Pelodiscus sinensis: one gene and its partners. The protein of the gene in region 1 purifies or fractionates together with the protein of each later gene. This does not show direct contact. Links are inferred from orthologs where the notes say so. Each region holds a gene or a part of one and is shown on either strand. Other genes may lie near its edges. The genes, in order: PTPN3, VANGL1, VANGL2 and KCTD3.

Region 1 (7,427 bases):
ATATTGAGTGAGTAAACAGTGTATTTCCTTGTGATGAATGTGATATGAAGTCTAGCAACCTTAATCCAAGATAATCCTAGGAGTGTAACAATTATAGGCTGTTGGGGTACGTCTACACTAGCCCCCTAGTTCAAAATAAGGAGGCTAATGAGGGCGACTGAAATTGCTAATGAAGCGCGGGATTTAAATATCCCACGCTTGATTAGTATATTCCCGGCCGGTCACCATTTTGGAAACTGACTAGCCCGAAGTAACTGCCCGTGTTTACACACGGCAGAGAAGCACGATTCCGAGATAAACCCCTTAGTTTGAATTAGCAGTTATGGAATGAGGTTTAACTGTTAATTCGAACTAAGGGGTTTATCTCAGAATTGCGCTTCTCTGCCGCGTGTAGACGCGGGCAGTTACTTTGGGCTAGTCAGTTTCCAAAATGGTGACCAGCCAGAATTTGCTAATCAAGCGCAGGATATTTAAATCTCGCACTACATTGGCAATTTCAGTCACCCTCAATAGCCTCCTTAGTTTGAACTAGGGGGCTAGTGTAGACGTATCCTTACTGTGAGGACGGAGAAAAATTCTTGTTCTTAACCTCTGAGGATAATACAGTGGACTTAAAATGCAGCAAGGGAAGTTTAGGTTGGACATCAGGAAAAACGTTCAAATTTTCAGGGTGGTTAAACTTTGGAATAAATTGCTTAGGGAGGTTGTGGAATCTCCATCATTGGAGATTCTTAAGAGGAGGTTAGACAAATACCTAGCAGATAATACTTAGTCCTGTGATTAGTTCAAGGGACTGGAATAGACAATCTCTCAAGGTTCCTTCCAATCCTGTGATCCTATGATTAACAAAGCTGTCTGTGTGGGAGTCTGATGATTATGTGCTGACTGGAGATTATGAAATAGAATCACTGTCTAAGATCTGCTGATGGAACCCAGACAGCAGGCCTTTGATTGCAGAAAGTCTCAACATAGTTGTACAATGATGTAAAAAGCCTGCAATCCTTGCTCAGGGATTGTCAACACAGCTGAAAAGTTAGCAGGACCAACTGGGGCAAGGCAGTATCAGAGTACACAGGGCATACTCTGAATCATAATAAATCTTGGATCACTTGCACCCACAGAGTTTAAAGCTGTCCTCCTGCTCCCTCTAAGTGATGAGTGAGTGTGGAAAAAGGAAAGTAATGTTTCAGGAGGGACCTTGTTTGTGTGTTACACTCAGAAGTGAAAACTGGGCCACATTTCTACCAGAGAAGCAAGTCATTGAACAGGTAACACTGACCTCTAGACATGTACAGTAAAAATCTCTTTCCCACAACTCTACCGGCTGCTGCATCAACTTTTGCACTCCTCCCACTGAGGAATCCCCACTCATAGACACCTGCCTCGATGGATGCAAATTGTACCATCCTCCTTCACCTGCAAAGGTGAATTATATCTCGATAGTCTGTTTTTAAAACTCTTGAATATGGACAGGGTCCTTTTTGAGTAATCACATCAAAATATGACTAAATACAAATAGTTGTATTTTGTTTACTGCTTATTAAATAAAATACATGAAATAAAATTCAGCAGCTGGAAAGCACGGCTTATTTGATCTGGACTATATCTATTCAAGACTATCATAAATGGGAAAATAACTCCTTAAGTGTTTGTTTTTCAGTGAAACAGACAATATCTGGGTCTGGAGAATCGGCAGCATGAAGAATGAGACACTTTATTTATCCAGGTGAGATAAAGACAGGAAATTGCCATATTATGTCATTTTCCTCCCAGCAACCTCCAGTGGACTTGCTGTTTCCATGAGGACTCATTGTTCCTAGAGGTGACAAGTGATTTAGCTTGTTTGACAACGTTCCATGCTGAGATAAGAAATTGGATATTTGCCAAATTACCCAGTATCTTTTTTGCATTGTTATGATAAGGTCACATTCCATTACCAATTTCTTTTTTTTTTTAACAGAGCACTTTATATATATGGTATTTCAGAGGTTGTCTGATTCATCACAATGTTTTGCAAGTGACTAATTAAAACACGTGGTTCCTTCATGTCTTCTTTCATCTACAGATTTCAAAGTAGTTTATAGAGAAAGAAAGCTATTATTTTCCCTCTTCTATAGCTAAGCATACAGGCATGGAATGATGAAGGAACTTGCCCAAGGTGACAGAGCAAATTAGAAGCAGAGTCAGGAACAAAACTCAGGTCTCCTGGTTTCCAGTCACCTGCTAACCATTAGACTGAACAGCTTTACTCGCAACATGGATAATCATGCAGTAGTGACAGAGATTGGAGGCTGTTATTGGCGATTGCTTGCAGTTAGAAAATCAGCCTAGCAGACTGATTGAAAAATTAAATAAATACAGGTTTCAGAGGGGTAGCCATGTTAGTCTGTTTAATAAAAAACAAGGAGTCTGGTGGCACTTCAAAAACTAACAGATTTATTAGGATATTAGGGCATAAGCTTTTGTGAGATGCAATTCAGTTCCACAGATGTTGAAGAGAAAAGAAAAGAGGAAGGGATAAATACAGGCCTCTTAGCAGTCAATTCTGGATCCTGCTCTGACCCTTCTATGACTCTCTGACAAAGGAAAGAGGCCATAAATGGAATGGAGGGCACCCTATGTGGCTGTTGTTTGCATGGGGCATATCACAGGGACGGACTGGCCGGGCAGGATACCGGGAATTTCCCAGTATGCCGTTGTCTGGTGGGCCATTGTGTCCACACATCGTTGCCCCTCACTCTGAGCGGCTCTGTGTCCGTGCTGTATGCAGCATGCAGAGCCCGACCCACTGCCTGCGCCGCGTGCCGGACATGACGTAGGGGGCGGGGTTTGAGGGGCACACAGGGGTGATGTCATGGGGAAGGCTGTTCTCAACCCATTTCCTGGGCCTATTTTGATTGCCAGTACGCATACCATCATAGGAAGGAACATGGGAAGGGTTTGGAGGGAGTAGTAGCTGAAGCTTTCATTGTCGTAAAGCTAGGCTACAGAGCAAAGGCAGCATAGGTCAAGGCTGCTGTAAGGTAAAGCAGCCCTTGAGGTTCTTCTAACTTGTGCCAGGATCCATTTTGTTGCCAAGGTGGCGTAAAAACACCTTTAGTATCTCCAGTCTTCCCTAGTTCCCTTGGACTGCGTAGTGCCCACGTGTGCCTGGCACTTCACAGACGTATGATGTTATTATCTCAATATGATCATTTTATTAATGCATGTGAGGATTTGCTACTGAATAACCTCTACTAAAAGACCAGTCATGTTGTATCACTTGAAGTTTAAATGGGAGTAGGGTGCTTCCATGCACACAATAACAAACCAGTCCTGATTTAAAAGTGAAAAATCACCAATTATTCTACATCAGCAAAATAACCTAAGTCCCCCAAGCTACTATTGTATCAGGAGAAAAGAGACATAATAGCTATGTCTACACTTGCGGCTTCATGCGCAAGAACAACTGTTCTTGCACAATAATCCACAGTGCATCCACACTGCCCACCCGCTCCTGAGCAAGAAGATTTACAGTATGGCGTGGTAAGAGATGGCTTCTTGCGCAAGAGGTATGCTCTTTTCTTACAAGTGTAAGCTCTCTTGCGCAAGAGCTCTTGCCAAGACAGCTTCCACTTATAAGAAAAGAGCGTAGCTCTTGCGCAAGAAGCCAAGTGTAGACGCTCTCTTGTGCAAGAAAGCTGCTTTAACTATAGAATTTTATTGCGCAAGAACTCCTGCCACGCATCCACACTGCCATGGGCGCTCTTGCGCAAAAGCACATCTCACACATGGCAGTGTGGACGTGTTCTTGTGTAGGACTCCTTGCACAAGAACCCTTGCGCAAGAAGTTCTTGCGCAAGGAGCCACCAGGGTAGACATAGCCAATGTGTATAGCAAAGCAGAGAAATACCAAACATTAAGAATGACTAAAAGTGATTAAATAATTGGATAGATTTTTAATTTGTCTGCATTTTTTATTTGTACCCAAGCATGACCAAAAACATACACCCAAACTGCACATATAGCAAGGCTGTTCTCCACTGACATATACAAAGCAACACTAATGAGAGTACCCAAAAACGTACACAAAAGAAAGAGGAACCCTTATTGTACTACACTGATTGGTAAAGTTTATTCACTATATAATCTTTATTTTAAATTCTGTCCTGTGTTTTTCACGAATACATTAATTAATTTTAAACTAATTTACCTTTAAAGTACACAGGCTGTTGGATTCTGTGGATTTTGGAACTTCAAATGAAGTATTAAGAAACTACTCCCTTTAACAACACAGTGCATAGACATAGAGCATTTTTTTAAGGGTGGACATTTGTTGCAATGAAACAGTTAAAACCTCTCCTGCAACATTAGATTTGTGTACCTGGACCTGTTTTACAGGTTTCTCAGGAGGGAAAATAACAATTTAATGTGACAGCACACAGGAGCTAGGCGTAAGAGAGAAGATCAGAAGTTTGCATAAGTGAGCTTCCCTTTTCAAAGTGCTGCTATTCAAGGGATCTTTCAAACACCCCTAAAGGACCATTATGGTGGAGCAGGAGATGTTATCAAAATGTTTTTGTCCTCAAGAAAAGTGTAAGTGACCACGTTTGATTTTTATATAAGAATCAAAAACATTACCTGACAGATCAAATGAGAAAAAAAGCAATTAGGTATGGGAGAGGAAAAGGAGAAGTCTTAAAACTATAAAGAATGAAGCAATTAACTTTATATTTCTAGACTTGCAATATAATCAAGGTTTTTACAGCACAAAAGAGAAGGACTCTTGTGTGAAGTATCTTGAAAGGTTTTTTTATTTAATGTTGGATTTATTGCTTGTATTAGCAAAGAACTGTATTGTAGTGTCTGCCTCAGTCGAGAGGACTTGAACAATGAGTTTAAATATCTTGAGTGACAGACTGAAGTGCTGTGAAAGCATTTTGCCACAACAGTGTGTTTTTTATCTTGCAGTGTCTTTTTTTTTTTTTGACACTGTGAAAACTTATTTTTTTTCTGAGTTATTGGCAAGCTTTCTATCAGCTTGTCCAAATGTCAGCTGAGAATTACAATGCAGTGACAGGAGTCTTAAATTGATCCAAGAAAATAACTTCCAGAGCTTCTATACTAATTTCTAATATTTCCTTTAATTGTGGTAAATTAAACAACTAGTGAATGATAAAAAGTCATCATGAATTTAGGGTTTTTTTTAATGTTAAGAAATCAACTCTCTTCCAGGCAATAGCAAATAGAACTTTAGGCACTACATGAACTAACCATGTAGCAGGAACCTGAAAGCTTAGTTGGCTGGAAACTAATGTATGTGGGTTGAATAACTTGGAGCTGGAGCTGTTTGAATCAATTCATCAGGGTGGAACTGGTGTGCTGATGAATCAGTTGAACACCCTGCCACAGTGAAGGACTGATGCAGAGACTGAAGGCATGCTACGCACTTTCAAATTGCTAGGTTTGTTTGGTTTGGAAGCTTAAGTAGGATGACTCCAGTTAACATTTTCTTCTAGGGCTATGTCTACACAGCAACATTATTTCAAAATAACATAGTCTGTGTCTACACAGCCGAAAGTTATTTTGACATAATGCTGAAATACTGTCAAGCTGCAGGACATCTTACTTTGACTCCTGTAACCCTCATTTTATGAGGAGTAAGGGAAGTCGGAGGAAGAGTGCTCTATTTCAAAATAAGTGTTATGTAGACAGCACCAAAACTCGAAATAAGCTATTTTGAAATAAGCTATGCAATTGACATAGCTCAATTTGCGTAGCTTATTTCGAGTTAAGCCCTGCTGTGTAGACACACCCTTGGAGAAGGATCAGCTTGGTTCTGAAAATAGAAATGTAGCTTGTTTCATGTTCTTTGTTTCAAGTTCCTGAAAGATTTTTTTTCTTTACACTGATTAAATAAGAAGAGAATCGGATAAGGTTGTCATTAAAAAGGAGAATCCTCCATGATAATTTTGTACTTTTGTCTTGTTCGTGACTGTTGGCAGAATCTTTCTGAACCTATTACTGAAGGTTTTATAGATCCCAAAAGGAAAGACCTAAGACCAGATCCTCAGCCCTTCTGCATCACTCAGCTCAAAGAGACTGTAAATTGGCTTAACTAGCCTCCTGAAGATAATGCTTGCATACGGAAGGTTTAGGGAGACCCAATAGCTATTCTCCTGCACTCAGGCCTCTGTGTTTGGAATGTGGTGGTTCACAAGGAGAGGTGGTCAGAGCACAGTTGTCCTCAACTGACAAGCTGCCCCTTTGGGGCCATAGGTAGCAGGAAGCAACTTAGAATGAACAGGGGATACTCTGAGGACTGAACCAATCCTTGGATCTCCCTGGCAAGCCTCTAGAATGCGGACTTAACGAGGCAGCATTAAGTCTTCTTTGCACCCATATCAGTCTTATACCAGGCTCAGCTTGACAGGCAAAGAAGCAGTCCCTACAAGGCATTGATGTAAAATGAATGCAATGGGTATTTTCAGGCTGCCCCAAATTATATTTAGAGTTGCTGTATTGTGGCTATAAAACTATGATTCTTGATCTTTTTTCTGTATATTGTACCTTTTAAGTTTATATGAAATCAATGTTCAGGAAGCAATGACTGTCTTGTTTCTGCCACAGTCTGTGCAGTACAAATTATTTCGAAATAGTTTTTGTGTATAGAGGCGTTATTTTGAATTAACTATTAGACATACCCTCAGAGAGTGAGGGGGAGACATTCCTGCCGGGATGGGGGGCAGAGGCTGAATGGCTGACCAGTGCATATGAGCAGCTGGACACCACTGCCATTTGATGAGCACATCAAGGGGCTGTATTATTCAGGGAAGCCTTGGGGGAGAGTTTCAGCCAAGGTGTGGCTACAGCAGCCACAAGTGCAGCTGAGAGAGGCTTCTGGAGGCTAATTATTTTGAATTAGCAGAACCAGATCATTCACACTAACACTATTGTGAAATAACAATTTCGAAATAAGCGTTATTTCCCAAGGAAAATAGGAGTATATATATTGAAATAATCAGCCCGTTATTTCGAAATAACAGGCGGGTAGCGTGAATGCTGCGCTTGTTATTTCAAAATACTAACTTGGAAGATCTATGATTTAATCGATATGGATAGTATCGCTAATGGTGCAGATCTCAACTTTTCCACGCCATCCTGTTTTGTGTGGTTCTTGTCCATATTCTTCCATGAATCTTCCATAAAGGACCCACACAACGTGCTGGAGGCCTTCCTCTTGTTCTTTTTATGTCTCGTGGATATCAGTGGAGTATGCGTGCTACCCAACTGTTGTCTCTCGGTCTCGCTACATGGCCAGCCCATCTCCTTTTCTGATTGTACATAACTTAGATATCATTGACATTACTTCTTGCACACAAATTGTCGATAGTAATATGCTATAGCCTATTTATACCACTATGTGTCTTTCCATTGCTCTTTGGGTG
Region 2 (7,940 bases), on another chromosome or scaffold:
CCTTGTGACTCCTCCTCCAGCTCTAAGGCTACAGCAGCCTTCTCCAAATTTTTGGAAGTTGAGCCTGTACCTCTTAGTTTTTACATCCTCTATGCCCCCCATGCCTCTACTCTTTTGTGGGCCCCTTGGAAGGGGACCCCCCACAACAACCAACACTTTAAGAAACTCTGGTGTTATATCCTATTGTGAAGGCTATGCTTTCATGAGCAGTGACATAGTGAACACTTGTCATTTAAAGCATCTTGGTCTCCGAGTTTGTGTTCATTAAAACAAACAGGGCAGTTCAATCTCGGAACCATTGTTTCAGGCCCCTGGCAAATGCAGGTATACTAATCTGCATTGGCAATATTAAGGTCATGTTTTCAAAGTTCTCTAACAGCTAGACTTTTGGGGGTTCTTCCAAATAAAAGCTGAGACTCTAGAAAACAATTGAGAGGTCTGTTTGTACTCTTCGGGGAGCTGCCCTACCCTGTAGGGCCCTTTGCACTGCTTACACTTCAAGGGAGGGGATGGAAGTCAGTGGAACTACAATCCCAAACTCAAATCCCTACAGAGCAATCTAGTTGGGCTCCACAACCTGGGATCTCTTGCAGGAGCTCCCCCATCCTTTTGGGGGAAAGAACTGGGCTTTGTAATGCCTTAAAAACCATGGAGGAAGGGTAGGATTTACACCAAAAAGAAGTGTGAAATCCCTCTAATCATCTCCATGGGACAGCAAACCTGAAGTGAAAGGAAGGAATTATTTCCCAAACATATTACTTTGACAGTAGTACCCTGTCAGCCCTTTCCTCTTCTTTTGGGAGAACTAAATCAACAAGGCACTAGCAGCTGCTAGCATTCTGACAATTTATTTCATGCAAACATGCTCTGAGCAGTGTCGGAGGTTATGGTGCTTAGAATACTGGTCACTATCTGGAGCCCTGACTACACTAACCTTCCCACCAATGGCAGAGGTGAAAGAACAGTAGCAAACATGGCAATTTAGCAGCAGAATACTAATTTAGAGGTAGTCTCTGTATCTGCATAGCTTTCATGTTCCTGGCGGATAGCCATTGGCCGTTAGCTACCTCTCTGTGTGGCTGAACGTGTGCTGGAAAGCATTCCAGAATTTTGACTTGCAAAATTTTTTGGTAAATGGGAGGCGTTTTTTTTTTTTTTTTTTTTGTAAATGGGGTTTTGTTTTTGTTTTTTTGTTTTGTTTTTGTAAACGGGAGGTTTTCTGTAATTCTGATTTGTTCATCTTAAAAATAGATAGATAATCAATTCCTGTAGGACCAGTACTGGTCCCATCTTCACAGCCAGTTATATATTCAAACCACAAAAAGGGGAAAAAAGGCAAGCCTGTTTAAAATCAAATTCTTAGAAGGTTAAATACACAGCAACTTTGAGGCAAGAATAACTAAGCCGAACAGCAAAAAAAAAAAAAAAAAAAAAATCTCCCACTAATCAAAACTATTCCCCCAACTGATATTCTAGCACTCAGTACAATTGTTAGTTGGGCCTCCTTAGATGGGCTGATACCTTGACACTGGCATCTTCAGGAAACACGTAGCTAAAGAGCCCAGCCTTTGGAGCAAGAATGTTATTTCGAACCATTAAGTAAACATTCTAAACAATGGAATTAATTCTCTCTCTCTCTTTTTTTTTTTTCCGGTCATTCAAAGTTCACAACTGATATAACAAACTGACAAAAGTAGTAACTTTGTCCTCTGCAGGGACACAATCACACCCTATGTTGCTAAAAACTACAGGAGTGCCAGTCCTCTGCAGCCCAGATGCAGGCCTATGCTTTTGAAGCAGAAGGGTGTTAAGACTTATTTCTGTTCCCTAAAGGTTATTAAATCGCCATGGTCTAAGAACAGGCAACCACACAGGCCTGTGTAGTCATGAATTGTCACAGTAGACCACCTGATCAAACCAACTTCTGTATAACTAAATCACGTTATGCTTTACTTGCAAATTGTGTCTTATACACACACCTACAGTTGCCCACACGCAGGACTTGGAATTTAAACAACTTCAATGGACATCATCCAGGGAACTAGATATATTTGAGGAGCACTGAACTCAGCTTTAATTCACTTGTTTATTAATCCATTATTACTTTGCTTCCCACACGGGGCTTTACAAATGTATTCCCACGAGTGGGAAGCTTTCCCTGGCAATCTTGTAGTCTTTTCAGGTCTGCTGGCAAGCCCCAGTGGGCCTGGGCCGCGGCACATAGTCTGAAGTTAGCGAGAGCCCAGTTCTGCACATTGCTTTTATCCAGGACTCTGGGCAGCCGTGCCAAACGACAAGACGCTCATCTGATGCATGCTGACACATGGGAACGCTCTGAGCAGCAGAGGCAGACGAACAAGAAAACAGAGGCTTGGGCAACCCATGCAGTAATCAGGAGGCTGTGGGGGGGGGGGGGGAGAGGTGCGCGGGGTGCCCAAAAGGGGCGGGGATCAGGCACCTACTAGCCAGGAGCTGGAACTAACAAGCGCACTCGCTGGGAGCTAGGACTTGCAAGCCCCCCCCCTCCCCGCGCCTGTCCCCCCCCACTCCGATTCAACGGAGGTAGAGAGACTCCTGCCAGAGTGAAGCCCCCGGGGCCACCAGACACAGGCTCGAGCTCGCACGCAGCCCAGAGCCATGCCCATGCCGGCCGGCGCCCCTGGGAGAGGGGGCAGAGCGCACGCCCGTGGCGGGGCAGAAGAGGCCCGGCTGGGGGGTGCGGGACTGCGGGGGGGGGCAGGGCCTCCGTGCCCGGGGATGCTGCCCCGCGCGTGGGGAGCGGGGCGCGAGCCGCCGCAGCAGGACCCCGCAGGGAGCGGCTCGGCGGGGCAGCCCCGGGGGCGCGTGCAGGGCGGCGGCAGGGGAGGGGGGCGCGTGCAGGGTGGGGCCCCGGGGAAGCCGCAGGGGGAGCCGGGCCGCCCGCACCCACCTCTCGCGGCCGCTCCATGCTGCTCCCGGCGCCAGCCCCGCTGCAGTCGCTAGCCCCGCCGCTTTCCGCTTCCTGTGCCCGGCGCCGCCCCGCCCGCTGCAGCCCGCCCCGCCTGCAGGGACCGCCCCCTGCAAGACCCCCCCCCCCCCCCATCTGCTGTGAGCGGCCAAGGACACCCCCACCCCGCTCCAGCACCCCCCACAACAACACTCCCCGAAGCACCTCCAGTGCTGAGGCCGCCACCTGGCACCCCCGCAGCCTCCTGCCTCTCCTCCCCCCCCGCTCGTCGCTCTCCCACTGGGACCTACTGCAAGCTCCCCGCAGGGATCCCAACCTCCAGCCGTGTAAGTACATGAGTGCTCCGCTCTAAGGCTATGTCTACACTCCAAAAATCTGCAGCGCGTCTACACTGCCAGTCCGCTCTTGCACAAGGAAATGTACAGTCCGGCGTGGTAAGAGAGGGCTTCTTGCGCAAGAGCGACGCTCTTTTTTAACAGGTGTAAGCCCTCTTGCGGAAGAGGGCAGTGTCGACACTCGGCAGGGATTTCTTGTGCAAGAAAACCCTATGGCTAAAATGGCTGTTGGAACTTTCTTGCGCAAGCGAGCGTCCACACTGCCATGGGCACTCTTGTGCAAAAGCACAGCGCACATGTGGCAGCGTGGACGTTTTCTTGCGCAAGAAGCCGCAAGTGTAGACATAGCCTAACAGTGGCAAGAGCTGGGGCAAAAGCCAGCAGGGAGCTACTGAAAGAGCTGGCAGGGACCGAGCTTGTAGTAGGACAGTGCCTAAAAGAAATGTGAAGTTACGTTCACCACTGCCACCATGTATTCAGCACCCGGCTCCTACACACACCTCCCCACCCACCCACCTTTTTGAGGACCAGTCCTTCCCAGTTCCCACACTAAATCCTCTCACTCCCATCTCAACCTCTTGCACCTCCACTCTATTGCATCCATTTCAAGTACTCTTGCAATATTCCCTCTTACAAGATCAGCCCTCTCCACCCAGGGCTCAATTAATCACTATGGACACACATGCCAGGAGGCTGCAGTGACCTGTAGTCCAGTCAGCACCCAGTGCTCTTTAAAGGAATCCAATAAATCAATAGAGGCTGCACAGAATAACTCTGGGTGAGGGAAGTGACCAAGGACAAGAAATAAGCCCTGCAGTTGCAGAGCTCTCTCCCTGCTTGCCTTGTCTAGCTTCTTCTTCCTAGTCTGGTGGGTAGCCATTGTGGTCTAGTGGACAGGACACTAAACAGGGAGTCAGGAGACTTGTGTTATATTCCTGGCTTTGCCACTGACCTCTGTGATCTAAGTCACTTTACCGCTCTGTGCCTCCGTTTCCCCCTTTTGTCTTGTCTTATTTAGACTGTAGGGCTACGTCTACACTGCAGGCTTTTTGTGCAAGAACAGCTGTTCTTGTGCAAAAACTTGCAGAGCATCTACACTGCATGCGTGATCTTACACAAGTAAATTTACAGTAAAGCATCAGAAGAGAAGGCTTCTTGCGCAAGAGTTATTCCTCTCCCCACAAGGAATAAGCCCTCTTGCAAAAGAGCTCTTGCGCAAGAAGGCAGTGTGGACAAAACCAGGAGTTTCTTGCACCAGAAACTCCTATGGCTAAAATGGCCATCAGAGCTTTCTTGCGCAAGAGAACATACACACTGCCATGGATGCTCTTGCGCAAAAGCACATGGCAGTGTGGATGCGCTCTCGCGCAAGACCTTTTTGCGCAAGAACTCTTGTGCAAAAAATTCTTGAGCAAGAAGCCTGCAGTGTAGACATAGCCTAGAATTTTCAATGGCAGAGCAAGCAATAGAATCGATATCTCCTGGCTTCCTACTGTGTGCTTTAACTACTAGTAAATATTCTGTCATTTAAAATAAGACTATATTTAAAGTAAGACGATATGCTACTCATGTCTACACTGGCACTTCTCTAAATCTTTGTCCCTCAGGGGTGTGAAAAAACACCCTACTGAGCACAAGTAAACAGGCTGAGCTCCCAGCACTGTTAGCTACTCTCCTCATTTAAGTGATTTACACAGTGTTGGGAGAGTTTTCTCGCAGTTCTGGTGCTGTAGCCATACTTTCACTTTAATAATTTTTTAGAGCATAGACTACATGGTCATATGTTAACACAGGGCACAAGATTATTGTGATGTTATTTGGGGGATGGTAGATTATATGCATCCCTTTTTGTCCTCCTCTTCCCTGAGTAATGCCACAGGTTGTATCTGAAATATATAGAATCAGAGGCTACGTCTACACTGGCATGATTTTCCGGAAATGCTTTTAACGGAAAAGTTTTCCGTTAAAAGCATTTTCGGAAAAGCGCGTCTAGATTGGCAGGACACTTTTCCGCAAAAGCACTTTTTGCGGAAAAGCGTCCGTGGCCAATCTAGACGCACTTTTCCGCAAAAAAGCCCCGATCGCCATTTTCGCGATCGGGGCTTTTTTGCGGGAAAAGAAATCTCTGCTGTCTACACTGGCCCTTTTGCGCAAAAGTTTTTCAGAAAAAGGCTTTTGCCCAAACAGGAGCCGCATAGTATTTCCGTAAAAGCACTGACAATCTTACATGAGATCGTGTGTGCTTTTGCGGAAATTCAAGTGGCCAGTGTAGACAGCTGCCAAGTTTTTCCACAAAAGCAGATGATTTTGCAGAAAAACTTGCCAGTCTAGACACAGCCATAGATCTGAGAGAGACCTCAGGAGGTCATCAAGTCCAGCCCCCTGCCCAAAGCAGGACCAATCCCAGCTAAATCAACCCAGCCAGGGCTTTGTCAAGTGGAGACTTAAAAACCTCTAGGGATGGATATTCCACCACCTCACTAGGGACCCATTCCAGTGCTTCACCACCCTCCTAAGGAAAAACTATTTCACAATATCCAACCTAGTCCTCCCCCACTGTAACTTGAGATCATTGCTCCTTGTTCTGCCAACCCTCACTACTGAGAACAGCCTCTCTCCATCCTCTGTGGAACCTCCCTTCAGGAAGTTGAAGGCTGCTATCAAATCCCCCCTCACTCATCTCTTCTGCAGACTAAATAAGCCCAAATCCCTCAGCCTCTCCTCATAGGTCATGTGCTCCAGCCCCCAAATCATTTTGGTTGCCCTCCACTAGACCCTCTCCAATGAGACCACATCCTTTCTATAGCGGGGGGCCCACAACTGGACACAATACTCCAGATGTGGCCTCACCAGAGCTGAATAAAGGGGAATAATCACTTCCCTAGATCTGCTGGTAATGCTCCTTCTAATGCAACCTAATATTCCATTGGCCTTCTTGGCTACAAGGGCACACTGTTGACTCGTATCCAGCTTCTCATCCACTGTAATCCCCAGGTCCTTTTCTGCCAAACTGCTACTTAAACGTTCGGTGGTCCCCAGCCTGTAACTATGCTTGGGATTCTTCTGTCCCAAGTGCAGGACTCTACACTTGTTCTTGTTGAACCTCATCAGATTTCTTTTGGCACAATCCTCTAATCTGTCTAGGTCACTCTGGACCCTATCCCTGCCTTCCAATGTATCTACCTCTCTCCCTAGCTTAATGTCATCTACAAACTTGCTTAGGATACAAATCCACCCCTCATCCAGGTCATTAATAAAGATGTTGAATAAAACTGGCCCTAGAACCAATCCTTGGGGCACTCCACTAGAAACCAGCTGCCAACCTGACATTGAGCCGTTAATCACTACCCGTTGGGTTCGACAGTCTAGCCAGCTTTCTATCAATTTTACAGTCCATGTATCCAATCCATACTTCCTTAACTTGCTGGCAAGAATATTGTGGAAGACCATATCAAAAGCTTTGCTAAAGTCAAGGTATATCACATCCACTGACTTTCCCATATCCACAAAGCCAGTTACCTCATCGTAGAAGCTAATCAGATTGGTCAGGCATGACTTGTCCTTGGTGAATTCATGTTGACTATTCCTGATCACTTTCCCCTCTTCCAAGTGCTTCAGAATAGATTCCTTGAGGATCCCCTCCATGATTTTTCTAGGGACAGAGGTAAGGCTGACTGGTCTGTAGTTCCCTGGATTGTCCTTCTTCCCTCTTTTAAAGATAGGCACTATATTTGCCTTTTCCCAATCATCTGGGATCTCTTCCGATCTCCATGAGTTTCAAAGATAATAGCCAAAGGCTCTGAAATGACATTTGTCAACTTCTTCAGTACACTTGGATGTATTAAATCTGGACCCATGGATTTGTGTATGTCTAGCTTTTCTAAATAGTTCTTAACCTGTTCTTTCTCCACTGAGGGCTGCCCACCTCCTTCCCATACTGCATTGCCTAGTGCAGTAGTCTGGGAGCTGACCTTGTCTGTGAAGACAGAGGCAAAGAAAGCATTGAGTACTTCAGCTTTTCCCACATCATCTGTAACTAGGTTACCTCCCTAGTAATAATACATAGTTGATTTATTATATTTGATCTATATCTTATTTTGGGTTACAACAGACTGTTACAAAGCTGATTAAGAATTAGATGAAACTCATTTCACTCTGATTTGGCAGTACCCTTAGTATTTAGCAGTACAATATCCACTTTGCAGTGGCATATGACCAGGGTGTACTAGAAATGGAATATCAGATTATTAACTCCATTTTATATGATGTGCCAAACACATGTCTAAACTTGCCTGAGGGCATCATATTGAATTGCATTCCTGACAGTTGCTCTGCCCTGGAATGATGATTTGTGCAAGGACAATGACAGAGCATTATGGGGCCATTGAGTGAGGGACTCAAATACTGACCAACTCCAGTGGAACAATGATTTTTCTATGCTGGGGTTTGCATCTGGGGCAAGCTTAACAAAGGGACAAGTGGGCTGGAATTTCCCAGTTTGATCCTATTGCACAAAGGAGAGCCCCTTAGAGTTCTGCTCTGTGTGTCATTGACCACCAATGTATGTAAGAAGAAAGTTGTACTAGTTTTAAAAAATTACCTGGTTTAGAGGGGAAGTGAAGGCAGATATAATAAATGAAAGAATAGAGAAGTTGATA
Region 3 (7,066 bases), on another chromosome or scaffold:
CAGCCAGGGCTTTGGCCAGCTGGGACTTAAACACCTCTAGGGATGGAGATTCCACCCCCGCCCTAGGTAGTGCATTAGCAGGTGCCCTCAGCTTTTCTCTCCCATTGCTGGGAGAGGCTGGAACTGGAGGATCGGGCCATTTCCCGCCCCCTCCCTCACCTCCCACAGAGCAGACCCGATGCCTCCGGGGGCACCACCCACAGCTCACACTCCTGCCTCATTCCCACAACACTCCCTGCTGGAAGAAACCACAACTGGTGTCTCGCCCCATTCCACAGCCAAGGCTCCCATTCTGTGCACTACAGCAACCCCTGCAGGGAGAGGCTGGGTTCTGGCATAATTATCCATGCCTCTCCAGCCTGATATCCCTTTATGTGCCACTGGGGCGAGACTGGTGCCTAGGATCAGCCTGGAGAATTTATTCCAAACCTCCCGGGCACTCTGACTTTGTCTTTTCATGGCTAGAATAGAGGTTTCCCTGAGATGCAGCGTAATTCCCCTGGCTGCACCATCCCTCATTGTCCTGCCCTTGGTTCATGAAAGAAGAGGTGGCCACTGCCTGAGATTTTGTGATGAGTTTATAAACAGTGAACGTGACTTTTCCTCCCTTCTAGACCGTCTGTGCCACCTTCTCGGAGTTCTCCTGTCTCCTTCCTCTCATTATGTCTGCTAATCTCCTTAGAGGGCTGCGCAATTTGTCACTCCAGGTGCCCTGGGGCAACAGGGAGGAAGGAAAATGTAAGTATGGTTAGGGGACAAGTAACGAGGCCTTGAAGCAGCTAGCTACAGCTTTCCATTCAGCCTCATATGGATCACAGTTGGATGACACAATGGCCTGCATAGTGTGAGGTAATGGGGTCTCAGACCAAGCACAATTTTTGTGTCTCTAACAACAATGGAAGATGTATGAAGGGTGAAGGGAAACCTCTGAATGTAACAACCCCAATCAGTGTTCCCGCCATGTGTGGAATGAATTCTGTTCTGTGCACCGGGCATGTGTGGATGAGTGCCGCATGTGGCACCGGGCATGTGTGGATGCGTGCCGCATGTGGCACCGGGCATGTGTGGATGAGTGCCGCATGTGGCACCGGGCATGTGTGGATGCGTGCCGCATGTGGCACTGGGCATGTGTGGATGAGTGCCGCATGTGGCACTGGGCATGTGTGGATGAGTGCCGCATGTGGCACTGGGCATGTGTGGATGTGTGCCACCCAGGCTGCAGGTTGTGGGTGCTCTGCTGATCAGCTGGGTCGCATTTGAATCTTTCCTGGGTGGCCACCCAAGCATTCACAAAGTGCTTACAGAGAACACTGGCCCCAAACTTGGCTGGGCAGTAGTGTGTATATATATGAGGTGATGGGGACTAGTGGCTAGAGCACAGCTCTGAGGCTCAGAAGAGCTGGATTCTCTTCCCAGCACTATCATTGGCTAACTGAGGAATTTGGGCAAGTTGCTTTACTTCCACTGATACCTCAGTTTCCCCACTTAATGAAGACAACACTACAGCCCTGTCCAGTGCTGTGAGATCTCCCAAAGATTAGCACTAAATGCCATCAGCCTCTGCTGCTTGAGCTTTTGCATACTCATTTATACCAGAGCCGAGTGGCTGTGGAAGAGGTCCCCTCTGATATGGGGGTATTTTGCCCACAGACGCTTTTCCGCAAAAGCACTTTTTGTGGAAAAGTGTCCGTGCCAATCTAGACGCGCTTTTCCGCAAAAAAGCCCCGATCGCCATTTTCGCGATCGGGGCTTTTTTGCGGAAAACAGTAGTGTGCTGTTTACACTGGCCCTCTTGCGCAAATGATTTCCACAAAAAAAGCCGCGAAAATGGCGATTGGGGCTTTTTTGCAGAAAACTACATCTAGATTGGCCACAGACACTTTTCTGCAAAAAGTGCTTTTGCGGAAAAGCATCCTGCCAATCTAGATGCGATTTTTTCTGAAAATGCTTTTAACGGAAAACTTTTCTGTTAAAAGCATTTCCGGAAAATCATGCCAGTGTAGACATAGCTGAGCAGAATAGTATTTCCACAAGAAGCACTGATTTCTTACAGTAGGAAGTCAGTGCTTTTGCGGAAATTCAAACAGCCAATGTAGACAGCTGGCAAGTTTTTCTGGAAAAACTGGCCAGTCTAGACACAGCCTCTGTGAGTAGTGCAACCTGGGCAAAAGCTGCCAGGAGGAAGGCCTGAGAAAGACTGGAAGTGTGAAGTTACCCAGTGAAGATGTTAGGAGTCAGCAAGTGCAGCTTAACTGGTTTATTTATTATTGCCATAAATAGCACAGCGGTGGCAAGAGACCCCTGCCGAGATCAGGCGCTGTTATGTCGGCAGCCAGCGGCCAACAATTTGGAGGTTTGGTTAAAAAACTGGCTTGTTTTATAGAACTGTACAATTTTCTGCTTTCAGGTTTTCATTCAAAACAAACTTCCCACCAACCACACTTCTGTGGACAGCTACAATGTAAATGGGGGGGGGGATCCTAAAATCTCCCCATTGAAATCAATGGCCATATGGCCATTGCCCCCCATTGAGAACTATGGAGAATCCCCCTTGAGATCAATGATCCTGGCTCCTCATTGAGAACTGTGGAGAAACCCTCTTGAGATCAATGATCCTGGCCCCTCATTGAGAACTGTGGAGAATCCCCCCTGAGATCAATGGTTCTGGCCCCTCATTGAGAACTGTGGAGAATCCCCCTTGAGATCAATGGTCCTGGCCCCTCATTAAGAACTGTGGAGAATCCCCCTTGAGATCAATGGCCATTGCCCCTCATTGAGAACTGTGGAGAATCCCCCCTGAGATCAATGGTCCTGGCCCCTCATTGAGAACTGTGGAGAAACCCCCTTGAGATCAATGGTCCTGGCCCCTCATTAAGAACTGTGGAGAATCCCCCTTGAGATCAATGGTCCTGGCCCCTCATTGAGAACTGTGGAGAAACCCCCTTGAGATCAATGGTCCTGGCCCCTCATTGAGAACTGTGGAGAAACCCCCTTGAGATCAATGGTCCTGGCCCCTCATTGAGAACTGTGGAGAAACCCCCTTGAGATCAATGGTCCTGGCCCCTCATTAAGAACTGTGGAGAATCCCCCTTGAGATCAATGGTCCTGGCCCCTCATTGAGAACTGTGGAGAAACCCCCTTGAGATCAATGGTCCTGGCCCCTTATTAAGAACTGTGGAGAAACCCCCTTGAGATCAATGGTCCTGGCCCCTCATTAAGAACTGTGGAGAATCCCCCTTGAGATCAATGGTCCTGGCCCCTCATTAAGAACTGTGGAGAATCCCCCTTGAGATCAATGGTCCTGGCCCTTCAGTGAGAACTGTGGGAGCTGTAAGGTTCTAAACACCATGGGGTAAATACAGCTGCCCTGTTTTTTTGCCCAGTCATTTACACCGGTGCAACCCCTCTGGTCCGGGGCTGCTCTACGCCCTCTTGGCCCTTCCTGCTGCAAAAGGGGGCCGGAAGTTCAGGGTAAGGCAGGGGTGCATCGGAGCCCAATTCATGGCGCTAAGTGCCTGAAGGGCTGGGCCAATCAGAGAGGAGGGAAGTACCCATGGGCCAGTCTGCGTGGCTCTGTGTGCGGGACAGGGGCCACTGACGTCACCCAGCCTTAGTAAAAAGTTGCGGGGAGGGGGAGCTTAATTTCATCCTCAGTCGGCGGGGCGGAGCGGGGCGGGCTCTGTGGTTTTCTCCCGTCTCCTTCACGTAACAAGAGAAAAATGCCAGGGACTGGGCTAGGCTGGGCATCTAGTTCCCCTCCCGCTCCCGCTTGCGGGGGGAGGGAAATCACAGGAAAGCCTCCCCCCCCTAAAATCTGAAGGGTTGGCCGCCTCCCCCCCCGCAGGAATCTTCCAAAGAAAGAGCCCGGCAGACACTGCGCTCCCCCCCCCCGCTCGCCGCTCCTTCCCCCCCTTAGCACCGAGTCCCAGTAAAACAAAAGGGGGGGGGGGGACTCTGGGAACTTCATCCCGCAGACAATGGGGAGCGGGGGGCGGGGGAGCGGCTCCTGGAACAGCCGAGGAGGGGTCACACGGCGCGAGGGGACACACACACACACACACACACACACACACACGCGCGCGCGCGGGCGGGCGCAGGACGCTGCCGTTCCCAGGCGCTTTGCTTCCCGGCCGGGTTCCGCGATTCCCGGGCGGGCGGGCGGCCCCGGGCGCGACGCCTCCTGCCGGGCGGCTGCTGCGGGCCGAGGGCGAGCGCCGGCCCCATGCCGGCTGGCGGGGCGCGGGGCGCGGACAAAGGGGCCGGGCGGAGCCGCGGGGGAGCCCGCCGGGGCCCCGGGCTGTAGCCGAGAGCGACGCGGATCGCGGGGCGCTGCCTGGTGAGTCGGGGCGGGACCCGGCAAAGCGCCGGCCCCGAGCGGGCGCAGGGAGCAGCCGCCGGCGGGGGGCAGGTTGGGGGGGTCCCCGGCGGGGGGCAGGTTGGGGGGGTCCCCGGGGGGGGGGAGGTTGGGGGGTCCCCGGCGGGGGGGGCAGGTTGGGGGGATCCCCGGCGGGGGGCAGGTTGGGGGGATCCCCGGCGGGGAGCAGGTTGGGGGGGTCCCCGGCGCGGGGCAATTTTCCATTCACGCGGGGGGGGGGGGCAGTGGGCCTGGTGTGACCTGTTGGCTCGGCTCGGCTCGGCTCCCCCTTCCCTGCACGCGCAGGCCTCAGAGCCGGGGGCTTTCCTGGGGCCGGGGCCAGGTGGGGCTGCTTGCTGCGGGGGAGGCGCAGATATTTGTGGAAGGCCCGACCCGGAGCCGAGGAAAGGGGGGGCCGCTATTGATTTCCCACCTCTGTTTAACTGTGAGGGGTGGGGGTGGGTTCTGCACGGCTCATCCCCACGCCCTGGCCTTTGCAGATGGAGCAGTTCCAGGAGGGGGCTGTCCGCAGGCAGGGTCCCTTTCACACGAGCCAGACCACCCGGCAGGGAGAGCCAGATCCCCAATGCGCAGCGGGGGAGGCTGGGATCAAAGGGGGCCCAGACACACGGGGGAGAAGGGGATGCCTGGTCTGTATTCCAACAAGTCTCCCCTCCTCCCCTTTTTTACCTTTGGTTTAACAATCATGTGAAATTCATGGTGCCAATGTAAGTGCCTGCCAGGTGGAAAAACAAGGAAGCATTTAGACCCTCCCAATACAGAAAAGCTGGGTATGTTTTAAGGTTTCTAGGTTATCCGTGCACAGCTGCACTAGTGCAGACCTCCGTGTAAACAGGGGTGCACCCCCCAGGCAGGAGAAAGCAGGGAGAGCTGTCAGTGGTGTAAATCACCTTTTTACACCCATGCTGTTGTATCTGCACTAGGGATTTGTATCTGTGTAACTACATCCATGCACAAACTCCCAAGTCTTGATAAGACCCGAATTCCTCATGGGGCCGAGGGGAATGTCTCAGGGCTGGTGCAAATTCATGTTCCTTGGCGGGGGGGAGACACACACACACACCCCCTAATATCCTCTCTTGTCATTGCACAGTTTGTGCAAATGAAAGGTGGCAATTTGGCCTGGCAACTGGGTTAAATTATCCTGACTTGGGGCAGGCTGGGGGCGTTTCTCATGCTTCGTATCTGGCCCCCTCGCCCCCTGTGATGATCCCTTGTTTTGAGGAATTAGCACAAGTAAGTGTTGGTGGGGCTGCGGGCAAAGATGTGAATGTGTGTTACTCCCAGGCGGATGCGCCAGCCTTGCTTGCCCTGATCTGAGTGAGCGAGGGGCCGGATTCAGAGCTTGTTTACACCAGTCTGACCTCTGGCACAGTGGAGCGGCGACTGGAGTTACTCCTGGATTACTCCAGATCTGGCTTCAGGTCTCGGCCTGGGTTGGGACCTTGTCTCCCGATGGAAGGGGGCGAGAGTCCATTTCCCCTCAGGCCTTGGAATCACTGACGAAGAGGTTTTGAAAAAAATAGTTTCCCAGGGCCCCTGGGGCGGGCGCTTAATCACAGCAGCTCTGGATTGTGTTGGGACTATCTGGGCTCGGAGGCAGACAGCGTCTGGTCCCTGGTCTCGCTTCATGCCAGCCCGACTCCCCTGGAGTTACTGCACCGAATCCCGCTGATGTAATTAGCAGATGACTTCATTTCCAGCCGGAGATGGCTCCTTTCCTGGCTGGCCTGGGTGCTGAGTTTGGGCTCCGGCCTTTCCGGGGTGGCTGTCGAGGGCTAAGGGGATGTCAGAGCCTTTGAGCAAACTCCACTCCGCAGTGGCTTGTCGATTTCAAGGCTGGGGGGGAGGGCTGGCCTGACCCTCCCAGGCCCGGGGACCCCAGGAGTGACTCTGAGATTTGACCTGGCGTGGGGCTGAGCTTGCTCTGTGGGGGTCAGCGACACCGCATGGCCCGGGCGGCCTTTGTGCTCAAGGCCCTTTGGTGCAAATGAGCTGGCAGTGAAGCGAAGCGGAACATGGATCCGTGTCCCAGGGGGCCGGGTTTGTGCAGACGAGATGACCAGCCCTTGCAGTGGGGGCTGGGACCGAGGGGGGCGGCTGCTGCACCCGCTGGCTTGAAGGCGTTTCCAGCATAGGCTGGGTTTGCAGTTGGCTTCGGCGGCTCCCCGCACCCCCACTATGCGCTTTGTCTCAAAGCTGGCGATGACCGTGGCTGAGTGAGGGGCGCGCCAAGTGCGCCTTCAATGTGCACCAAAAGACACTGTGTGACTCAGTTTCCCTTCCTGTCCTTTACCAGGCTTGTCTGTTTTTGGACGTAAGCTCTTCAGGGCAGGCAGCGTCGGTTGCCTCTAGCTCCCAGTGCCTGTAGCTCCCACTGCCGGGCTCCTCGTGGGGAGACACAAAGCACGAGCGGACGGGACCGTGGAGAGGGGCGGGGCTTTGCCACGGGCAGCTCTGTGCCGGGTGAATGGCTGGAGCGGAGGAGGGCAAATAGGCCACCGTGTCTCTAAGCCTGGTTGCCTGGGGATCCTGCAGGCTGTTGTGCTGCTTCCTTAGGGCCGGACCCTGCACAGGGATCCCGGGGAGCTGGGCCCCAGTGACAGGCTCCATGCAGGGCTGGGGCCAAGGCCTGGCTAGCCGCTCTCCCGCAAAGGGCGCCGGTGCTCGGGTACCATCCTCCTCTCCCTC
Region 4 (7,906 bases), on another chromosome or scaffold:
GCAAAACATATGTCAGCTCTGCCAGCCTGCTGGGGCTACACTGTTGTATAGGGATGGGGCTTTGTTCTTCACCATGCTGGGGTTGCCAGGCCCCACTGCCGGCCGGGGCTGCACTCCTCACTGCACTGCTGGCTCCACTGCCTCCAACGCAGGTAAGGCTGCATTTCCTGATGTGCCAGCTCGGCTGGGGCTGTGTTCCCTGCTCTGCTCGCTCAGCCAGGGCTACAGTCCCAAGCACTGGCCCCACTGCCTGCATCACTCCCTGCAACCAGTCCCAGACAGGGACTCTGCTGTCCACCATGCCAACCCTGCTGCCGCCAAGGCTGCACTTCCCAACGCCAGCCCAGCCCCTGAACCTAGCCAACAGGGGCTCTCTGATCCAGCAATATCCATGGTCTTGCTGGACCACAGATGTTGCCAGACGAGAGAGTCCCAGATTTTAGAGGTTTAACATGTACTAATTTTAAGTTATCACTTAGGCAGAAATTTTGGTGAATCAGAGATATAGTATAATCAGAGCCCTATGTAGTCTAAGATTTTGCAACATCTGCTACAGAGGATGTTTGCTGTATAACTACAGTATACAATACCAACTTTAAATTTTAGCAAGTTATGTTTCTAAACCACATGGCTATAAAGATAACCTCGAAAACACAAAGTAAGCAGAAACTAATGCAATGTTGTCTTGGTGAATCTCCAGACAGCTAGAAACTATTGCTCCATGAGGTATGAAGTATATTTGTTTCAATAAATTGTTCTCTCTTTTGTTTCAGGTTGCATTCTAAGGATAATGTCGACTATTTTGCTGCTTAATATTTTAGCAAAAACATTCAGTTAATATATTAAACACATAATCCTAAAATTGCTCTAATTGTTCTCTAACAAATCTTTAAAAACTTCCAGGCCAGATCCATCCCTCTCCCTCTGCATTCACAATGTACAATTAAGTTATGCACTTTAATACAGAATGCTTCCTGGTATTATATATTGAAAGCAGAAGAGCAGCAAAAAATAAGCCAAACTCAATATAAAAAAAAACTATACTTAGATTTACTTTTCATATTTCATAAAAACTTCAATTTTTAATAAATCTGAGGCAGATATATGTTCCAGGCTAAGATTGCTAGAGAATCCAAGGCCTTGTAGTACAGTATACATAAGCTTGGAATGATTAGATTTTAATCAGAAAAATGTTTAATTTCACTACACACAGAAACCAATACAAATATTTCCATTTAATCAAAATATACAAATAGGCAAAATAAGAAAAACGCCGCTTCAGCACTCATCATGACAACCATTTAAGGATATTTGCTTTGTTTATTTTGCATGTGAAAGCAACAATTTGTGCTTCAATGTTATAAAAAAATATTTTTTTAGATCTCAACTTCTATTGTCTTTAAAAAGCTATAGCGTGACCCTACCTCATAATTTCCTACAACTGTAAAAAAATTAAATATGTACACATTGGAAAAATACTTAGTCCCCAAAATTTTGCGCAAGAAAAAGAAAGAGAAATTAAGCATTCTTAAAAATAATCAGACATCAAAATTAATTATTAATTTCATTCTCCAACACTTCATTATACAGAACTCTGACTAGAACATTCCAACTCCTTAAATATGTTTTATTCCAAAAGAGCTAAATGCCAACGACAGACATAGAAGTGAGACACACATTACAGTAACCATTTTAAAACACTTAAAAGCGTTAGACATTGACTGGAATTGAAAGAGAACGTAGTGCTACAACATCCACTTTTCTCCTGGATGGTCCTGAGTTTAACTCCTTTGCAACAGGTTACATGGGCTCAAATTTTCTTTACCACCCAAACAGCTCCATCACAGACACAAAGCTACCTGCAATACAGCACAATAGACATTCATCCCTACAATGAAAATAGTGATAGAAATGTAGCCGTGTTAGTCTGTAGCCGTGTAGTCCCTACAATGAGTTCCTTTAGCAGCATGATGCCAACAAGACCAAAATGCAATGACAACTGGGTTGAGCCAGCGCTCAGCAGCTTCAGGACAAGCCCTATCAGCAGGAATTCAGGACAAGACAGACACAGACAGACCAGATTATGGAATAATGCAACAAGATCCAGGTGGACCAGGTTATGTGATATTAAATAAAAACAAATCCTGCCCTTGGGCCACCTGAGGGAGATGCACGATCCTCCTAGCCTTGAATCCCAAACCAGGGCTCTTCTCCCCATTAACTCCTCTGCCCCACGCCCAGCTCCCACTACCATCCCCCTCTCTCTGGTCCTCGGCTCCCCATTGATGGGTCTTCCCCTCCTCAAGCCCCGCTCACCTCCCCCAGGTCCTGGGGCTTCACTGGGGCTTCTTTCTCCCTCCCCATCCCCGGCTCCGGCCCATTCCCAGGCCTCCCTCCCTCCCTCCAGCCCATTGCTTGGGCTTCCCAGCCCCAGCTCGGACCCCTCGCTCCCCCATCCCCGCTGCGCCCCCTCCCGATATTGCCTATCCCGAGCTGCGCTCCAGCTCACCTGGTGCCCCCGACGTTGAGCTGGATGATCTCCCCGCTTCCCGCGCCGGCGAAGCCCCCACCGTTCCCCGCCATCTTCCCCGCCGCCGCCGCCGCCTGCAGCTCTGGGCAGCGCCCGCCGCCACCTCCCGGAGCCCAGGGAAGCAGCAGGAGGCGGCAGCTGGAGCCGGGGGGACGTGCTGCGGGGTGCCCGGGGCCGGGCCAGCACGGAAGGAACCAGGCCCCGAGAAGCTGCGGCCCCTCGGCCTCAGGCCAGCAAAGGCCGCGACGCCTCCTCTCTCCCTGGCCGGAGCCAGGCGGAAAGTGCCATGGCAACGCGCAGCACCTGGAGGAGGGGGCTCGACACGGGACAAAATACTCTGAGTTCTTCGCGAAACGGACCGGAGGGGAGGGGGTTCGAAGCCCACCACCGCCTCTTGTCTCGGGGAGTTCGCTCACGCAGCCCTTCAAAGGGGGCTAGCTAGACACGCCCACCCCGCGCGGGAATATACAGACACACACACGCCAGTCCTCAGTAGGGGAATGCAACCCTCCCCCTCCAGGGGAGCAGGGCCCATCCCCACACACCCCACAAGGAATTCTTCCGTGCAGTTTCCCCGTGGTTCACTGCTGTTGCAGTGGAGTTACAGCAGCGTAAAACTGGGCTACAGCAATGGTGGAGTAGGGCCTTTTTCAAGGGTTTTAGTCAGATTACTGAAAACCGAAGAAAAATGTGCACAGGACAAGGAGGGGGAGGAAGATTGTCAAGCTAAGAAGTTCTATTTACTTAATGCATAGAATTATTAATAACAGTCACATTCTTTAAAAAATGCTCAATTCACTATGCTCAATTTTTGAGAGGCCATTAACATTATGATTGCATTTCTTTTTCCTCACTCCTTTATATCCACAGGGAACATGATATCAAGACTGCAAAGATGGAAATCCAAAGTCTGAATTCTGTATGACAACTTTTTTTTTCTACTCATAAAATCTGAGACAAAATTTGAACATGACCAAGCTACTGAACCCTGCTACAGAAAGCTACTACAGCTAGGGAAACATGCTTACATTACTTATTATTATTAAGCATTAAGGCCAGTGGGATGAAATTAAAAGCCATTAGCTACCAAACAGATCACCTCATTAAACAGACATCGAAGGCTTGAGTCCATCAGAACCTCATTAACCATTGAGGGAGACTTATGGGTCCGAAAGACATGAATCTCCCAGGAGGTGGACCTAGACTATACAACTCACTCCTGCACAAGATAAGACTGATCACAGACTTCAGGATTCAGAACTACATACATAACTCTGTTGTTTGACTTGGTTTCCCATCTCCATTGTACTTTCATTTGGGAGTCAAGGGAAAAGGGGAGGGAAAAGGTAAATTCTGCTCCCTCTTCAGCTTCTCCAAAAGGGAAAGCTATAGAGGGATTTTTGTTTACCATACTTTTCATTATGTGGGACCACTGAAGGCCATGTAAGTACAGAGAGACTATGTCTTCACTGCAAGATCTTCCAGCAGAAAATATGCTAATGAGGAACTCATTAGCATAAGTCACAATCTCATTAGTATATTTTCTGCCGTTTCTTTTTGCATAAGCGGTTTTTGCGCAAAAAGAAGCAGTGTGGACGTGGGGGAGGAGGGTTTGTGCAAAACCCCCATTTTGCGTAAGATCCTTATGCCTGTCCTGGAGCGATATGGAGCTGCTCCATGCTCAAGGGTCCCATTGAAGCAGGCCATTGACTTATTAAAAGTCTTGCTAGGCTGGATCTGACCCCGTGGGGTGTATCGTGATTGCCCCAGCGTTAAAGGATAATGTGTATTGTCCTTTGTACAATGAAACATGCTGGTCATAAAGAGATGCACATCTCAGGTTGGCAGAACATATATTGCAACTCTGAAACCACAATGCAATTTGAAAACGAAATCAGCCTACTACAGCATGTAATGGAATTTTGACAAAGAAATAAATTACTATATAGTTTAGGAGAGAAAGTCATAATATTGTGGTTTGAAGGAGTGAGTGTATGCTGCCAGCTTTGTGACCAAGTCTTACAGCCAAGCAAGGTTTTACTGTTTTCAAAGAGTAAGAATTTATAAATCTGGGCTTTTTTCAAGTAGGTGACAATTTGACAAGATACAAAGGTCTTGTGCCAGTTACCCAGCACTATTTAAACCCAATATTGTCATTCTGCAAGGGCAGAGTGGCCATCAGGGTCACAGCCTTACAGTGGAACCTCTGCAGTCATTTTATGTTGTACAAGGGGGCTAATTGTTAGTTTCCAATTAGTCCATATAGAGAGAACCACCAGAGGTGGGCGAGTGTCAGAGCTATTGAATCTTCGCTCACGTGATTCAGTGGTATGAAGAGGGGTAGTAACTGCAATTTCAATCTGTATGCTGAAAAAGTATTTACAGAGAGGGGCTAATTATGGAGTGGATGCCATCCTCACGATCCCCAGGAAGTTCCTCAAACAAAACATTTACTATGATTTTTACCCTGCCACACACAGGCCCAGTGGTACTAACTGGTAAAGGATTCGATATTGTATAACACCACCTATCAGGCCTAACATACTCAGTACTCCTAGCACACTGCTTTCATAGTATTTATCAAGAAAGTGATGTGAGATCTTAAATGCAAACCAAGATCATACTGGTCATTAAGATAATTGTAAAACGTATTGCCTGACACTGTGTAAGGAGTTATTAATATATGCCAGAAAAGAAGTCTTTAAAAGTCTTACTCAAAGCAGGGTTTACATATAGGTTTTTGTCAAAGGGATGTACTGTCTACTTTGTCTACTGTCTTCTGTGGTTCACATTAGATGTGTTGAACTAATTTTTATAGTGGGGGGTTGCTGATGGAAACCATATATTTGGTTTTTGTTATTATTCAGTCAAGGGGTTCAGCAACCCCTTCTCTCTAGTTCTAGCATCATTAGTTTACATGTAAAATGAGTATTGTAAGCCAACACAATAGAAGGTCTAGTTGCATATTAAATTAACATGAAGTCAGCGCACCAGAGAATAAACTTGTGGGCAAGGGTGGTGTCATCCTAACTCTAGGACCAACAATGAATTTTGGACATATGAGGAAAAGGCAAAAGGATATCTTTTTATTTTTCACTGATAAGCAAAAAGGTTTTTTTTTCTTTGTGAAAGAGATGACAGCTATGTTGGTAGAAGATACTGTGAGATTTGTTTAGGTGAGATAAATTACTTGAGAGAGAGGGTTAGCCTGAAAAATTAAGTTTATAATCTAGGAAATATATTATATTTTGTTTTATATATAATAATGTGTTTCAACAATGTGTACTCACTATCTCTTAACTTAGCTTGTGATAATAAACTTACAATTGTTTTCACTAGAAATATACCTCAGTGCTGTGATATTATAAAAGAGTTGATCCTCAATTGAATCAAACCAGCTTGAGTGTACAGTGACCTCTTGAAGATAGCAACAATGCAGCCCTTAACCACTGAATACTTCAGGGAGCGCTTTGAGGATATACTCTGTGCCTTCTCACTAGTCTCCACATAAAGAAGTAGGTCCGCTGAGGCCTGGAAGGCAGTGCTTATGTTGCCAGAGGCGGTTGGTTTTACGGAGCTGACCCTCAGCAGACACAGATGAGACTGCTTCACAGTAATAGCAGGTAGTAGGGAGGTGCTTCACAACTCTGGCATCCTCTTAAGAGAGCCACACATGTTATCCCCATAGAAGTCACAATCCTAGCATCTGCAAAACCATTTTTTATTAATAGTGGTGAAATGCTTTCATTTTAAAGGGGTATCCCCAAAGAAAACTGTTGTGAGGAGTAGTCTACTTAGAAGTTTTAGATTCAGGAGGGGACTACAGTTCCACTGCCTTTTGTTACATAATCAGTAGTTAAGATTTTCTAAACATCTGTGAAAAGATTTAACTTTGCATCAGTCTACTGTCAGAGGAAAACCACAGCTATAGTTCTGAGGTTACCACAGATTGAAGTTAATGACTATTTCAGTGCATACACAGAGAAACTTTCCACAAGTGTACCACATGCAGAGATTTTGTGGGAAACACTAACATTTGCATAAACGTACCATTAATTTACTACAGTCATTATTGCTAAGAACTATTCAAACTTCTTATTGAAAGGGGAAAATGTCAACTTCAAAAGTTAACTTAAATGTCACTGCTTTGCCTGAAAATTGGTACAAGTTTCACCTAAGACTATTACATTTGAAAAAAAAAATGCTGGTCTTTTTTTAAAGTTATTTTGTACATTTCTATACGGATGTAAAATCCAATTTAAAATGTTAACCAGTTAAACTATATGTTTAACTGGTTAACCATAACATTGTAACATAGGCAAGGGGCAGCTAGAAAAGCTCCCTGCTCGTGTTGCAGAGCGATGGGCCTGGTCAGGCTGGAGCAACCACTCTCTGGGCAGCACGTGGGCCCAGCCGGCAGGGCCTTCCCCACCATGCCACAAACAGGGGGCTGCTTCAGTTGCGCTGGGCACCTGTCAACCAGTTACCCGGTAACCAGTTACCCGGTAAGGTTCTTCCTACATCAAAGATAGGGTTTCAAGTTAGTCCTCCAAATTCCTGAGATCCCAGGGAAATTATCTCTTCTTGAGACTCTCTGCTGTACAAATTCAGTAAGTCTGATGTGTCCTCTATGAAACATAATCCCCCTTGAAGCAGAATATATTTTAACATTCCTTTGGGAACTGTGAGGCTCTCTCCCTCCAATGCAGAGCTGTGACTAAGAGCCACCATGGAACCAACAATAAATAACACAAAAGAATATTGTATTGTATTTTTCCTTAATATTTAACCCTTTATTGTAAAATTTCTGTGAAGCTGCTGCTATGTGTTGAAGAAGCTAGGGAGCTTTATCACAGAATTTGACCCTAACTTGCATAGATTACACAAGGCACTGAACATATCAAAATAATACTTTGTGTGATTATGATGTATGATTTTTACAGTGTCCTTATGTATTGTAAAGACTCCTTACATTTCTCTATTCTGTTTTTGAGGGGGGTATGATTCTTATAAACTATAAGAAACTAGGAATATTACTTCTAAGAATAAATGGTCAGATTGTTCTTAGTTATTTTGAAGAGAGGGCAGGAAAATATCTGAAAATAGCCTTTAATTGTCTTGAATCTCAGTGGCATTATCTTTCACTGCTCCAGAAACAGTCCATTTACATGATCACCACATATTTGGACATAGCATTGGACATAGCTGGGAGGAGGAAAGATAAAACTTGAAAAAAGGTACTCTCATCAATATTATTGCTTACAAATCTCTATTCTATAGATATTCCTATGGAAGACCATGATGATTTCTCCAGCATATTTTATTCAATGATTGTTTTATGTTCTCTCACAACATACACAAAAGGGCATTATTTAT

The links.
Region 2: the proteins of PTPN3 (region 1) and VANGL1 purify together in Homo sapiens (affinity purification with mass spectrometry; 4 studies listed by BioGRID and IntAct, with this or other methods). This does not show direct contact. The link is inferred for Pelodiscus sinensis from reciprocal best matches to the Homo sapiens genes PTPN3 and VANGL1.
Region 3: the proteins of PTPN3 (region 1) and VANGL2 purify together in Homo sapiens (affinity purification with mass spectrometry; 3 studies listed by BioGRID and IntAct, with this or other methods). This does not show direct contact. The link is inferred for Pelodiscus sinensis from reciprocal best matches to the Homo sapiens genes PTPN3 and VANGL2.
Region 4: the proteins of PTPN3 (region 1) and KCTD3 purify together in Homo sapiens (affinity purification with mass spectrometry; 4 studies listed by BioGRID and IntAct, with this or other methods). This does not show direct contact. The link is inferred for Pelodiscus sinensis from reciprocal best matches to the Homo sapiens genes PTPN3 and KCTD3.

What each region holds. Positions count from the first base shown.
Region 1 is NC_134712.1:148,659,402-148,666,828, reverse strand, and holds the start of PTPN3 (tyrosine-protein phosphatase non-receptor type 3), read left to right. Parts: upstream 1-4,423; 5' UTR 4,424-4,526; coding exon 4,527-4,575; intron 4,576-7,427.
Region 2 is NC_134711.1:143,780,711-143,788,650, forward strand, and holds the start of VANGL1 (vang-like protein 1), read right to left. Parts: upstream 3,013-7,940; 5' UTR 2,930-3,012; intron 1-2,929.
Region 3 is NC_134734.1:25,162,852-25,169,917, forward strand, and holds the start of VANGL2 (vang-like protein 2), read left to right. Parts: upstream 1-4,064; 5' UTR 4,065-4,336; intron 4,337-7,066. UniProt on the Homo sapiens protein: Involved in the control of early morphogenesis and patterning of both axial midline structures and the development of neural plate. Plays a role in the regulation of planar cell polarity, particularly in the orientation of stereociliary bundles in the cochlea.
Region 4 is NC_134713.1:149,721,775-149,729,680, reverse strand, and holds the start of KCTD3 (BTB/POZ domain-containing protein KCTD3), read right to left. Parts: upstream 3,003-7,906; 5' UTR 2,584-3,002; coding exon 2,510-2,583; intron 1-2,509. UniProt on the Homo sapiens protein: Accessory subunit of potassium/sodium hyperpolarization-activated cyclic nucleotide-gated channel 3 (HCN3) up-regulating its cell-surface expression and current density without affecting its voltage dependence and kinetics.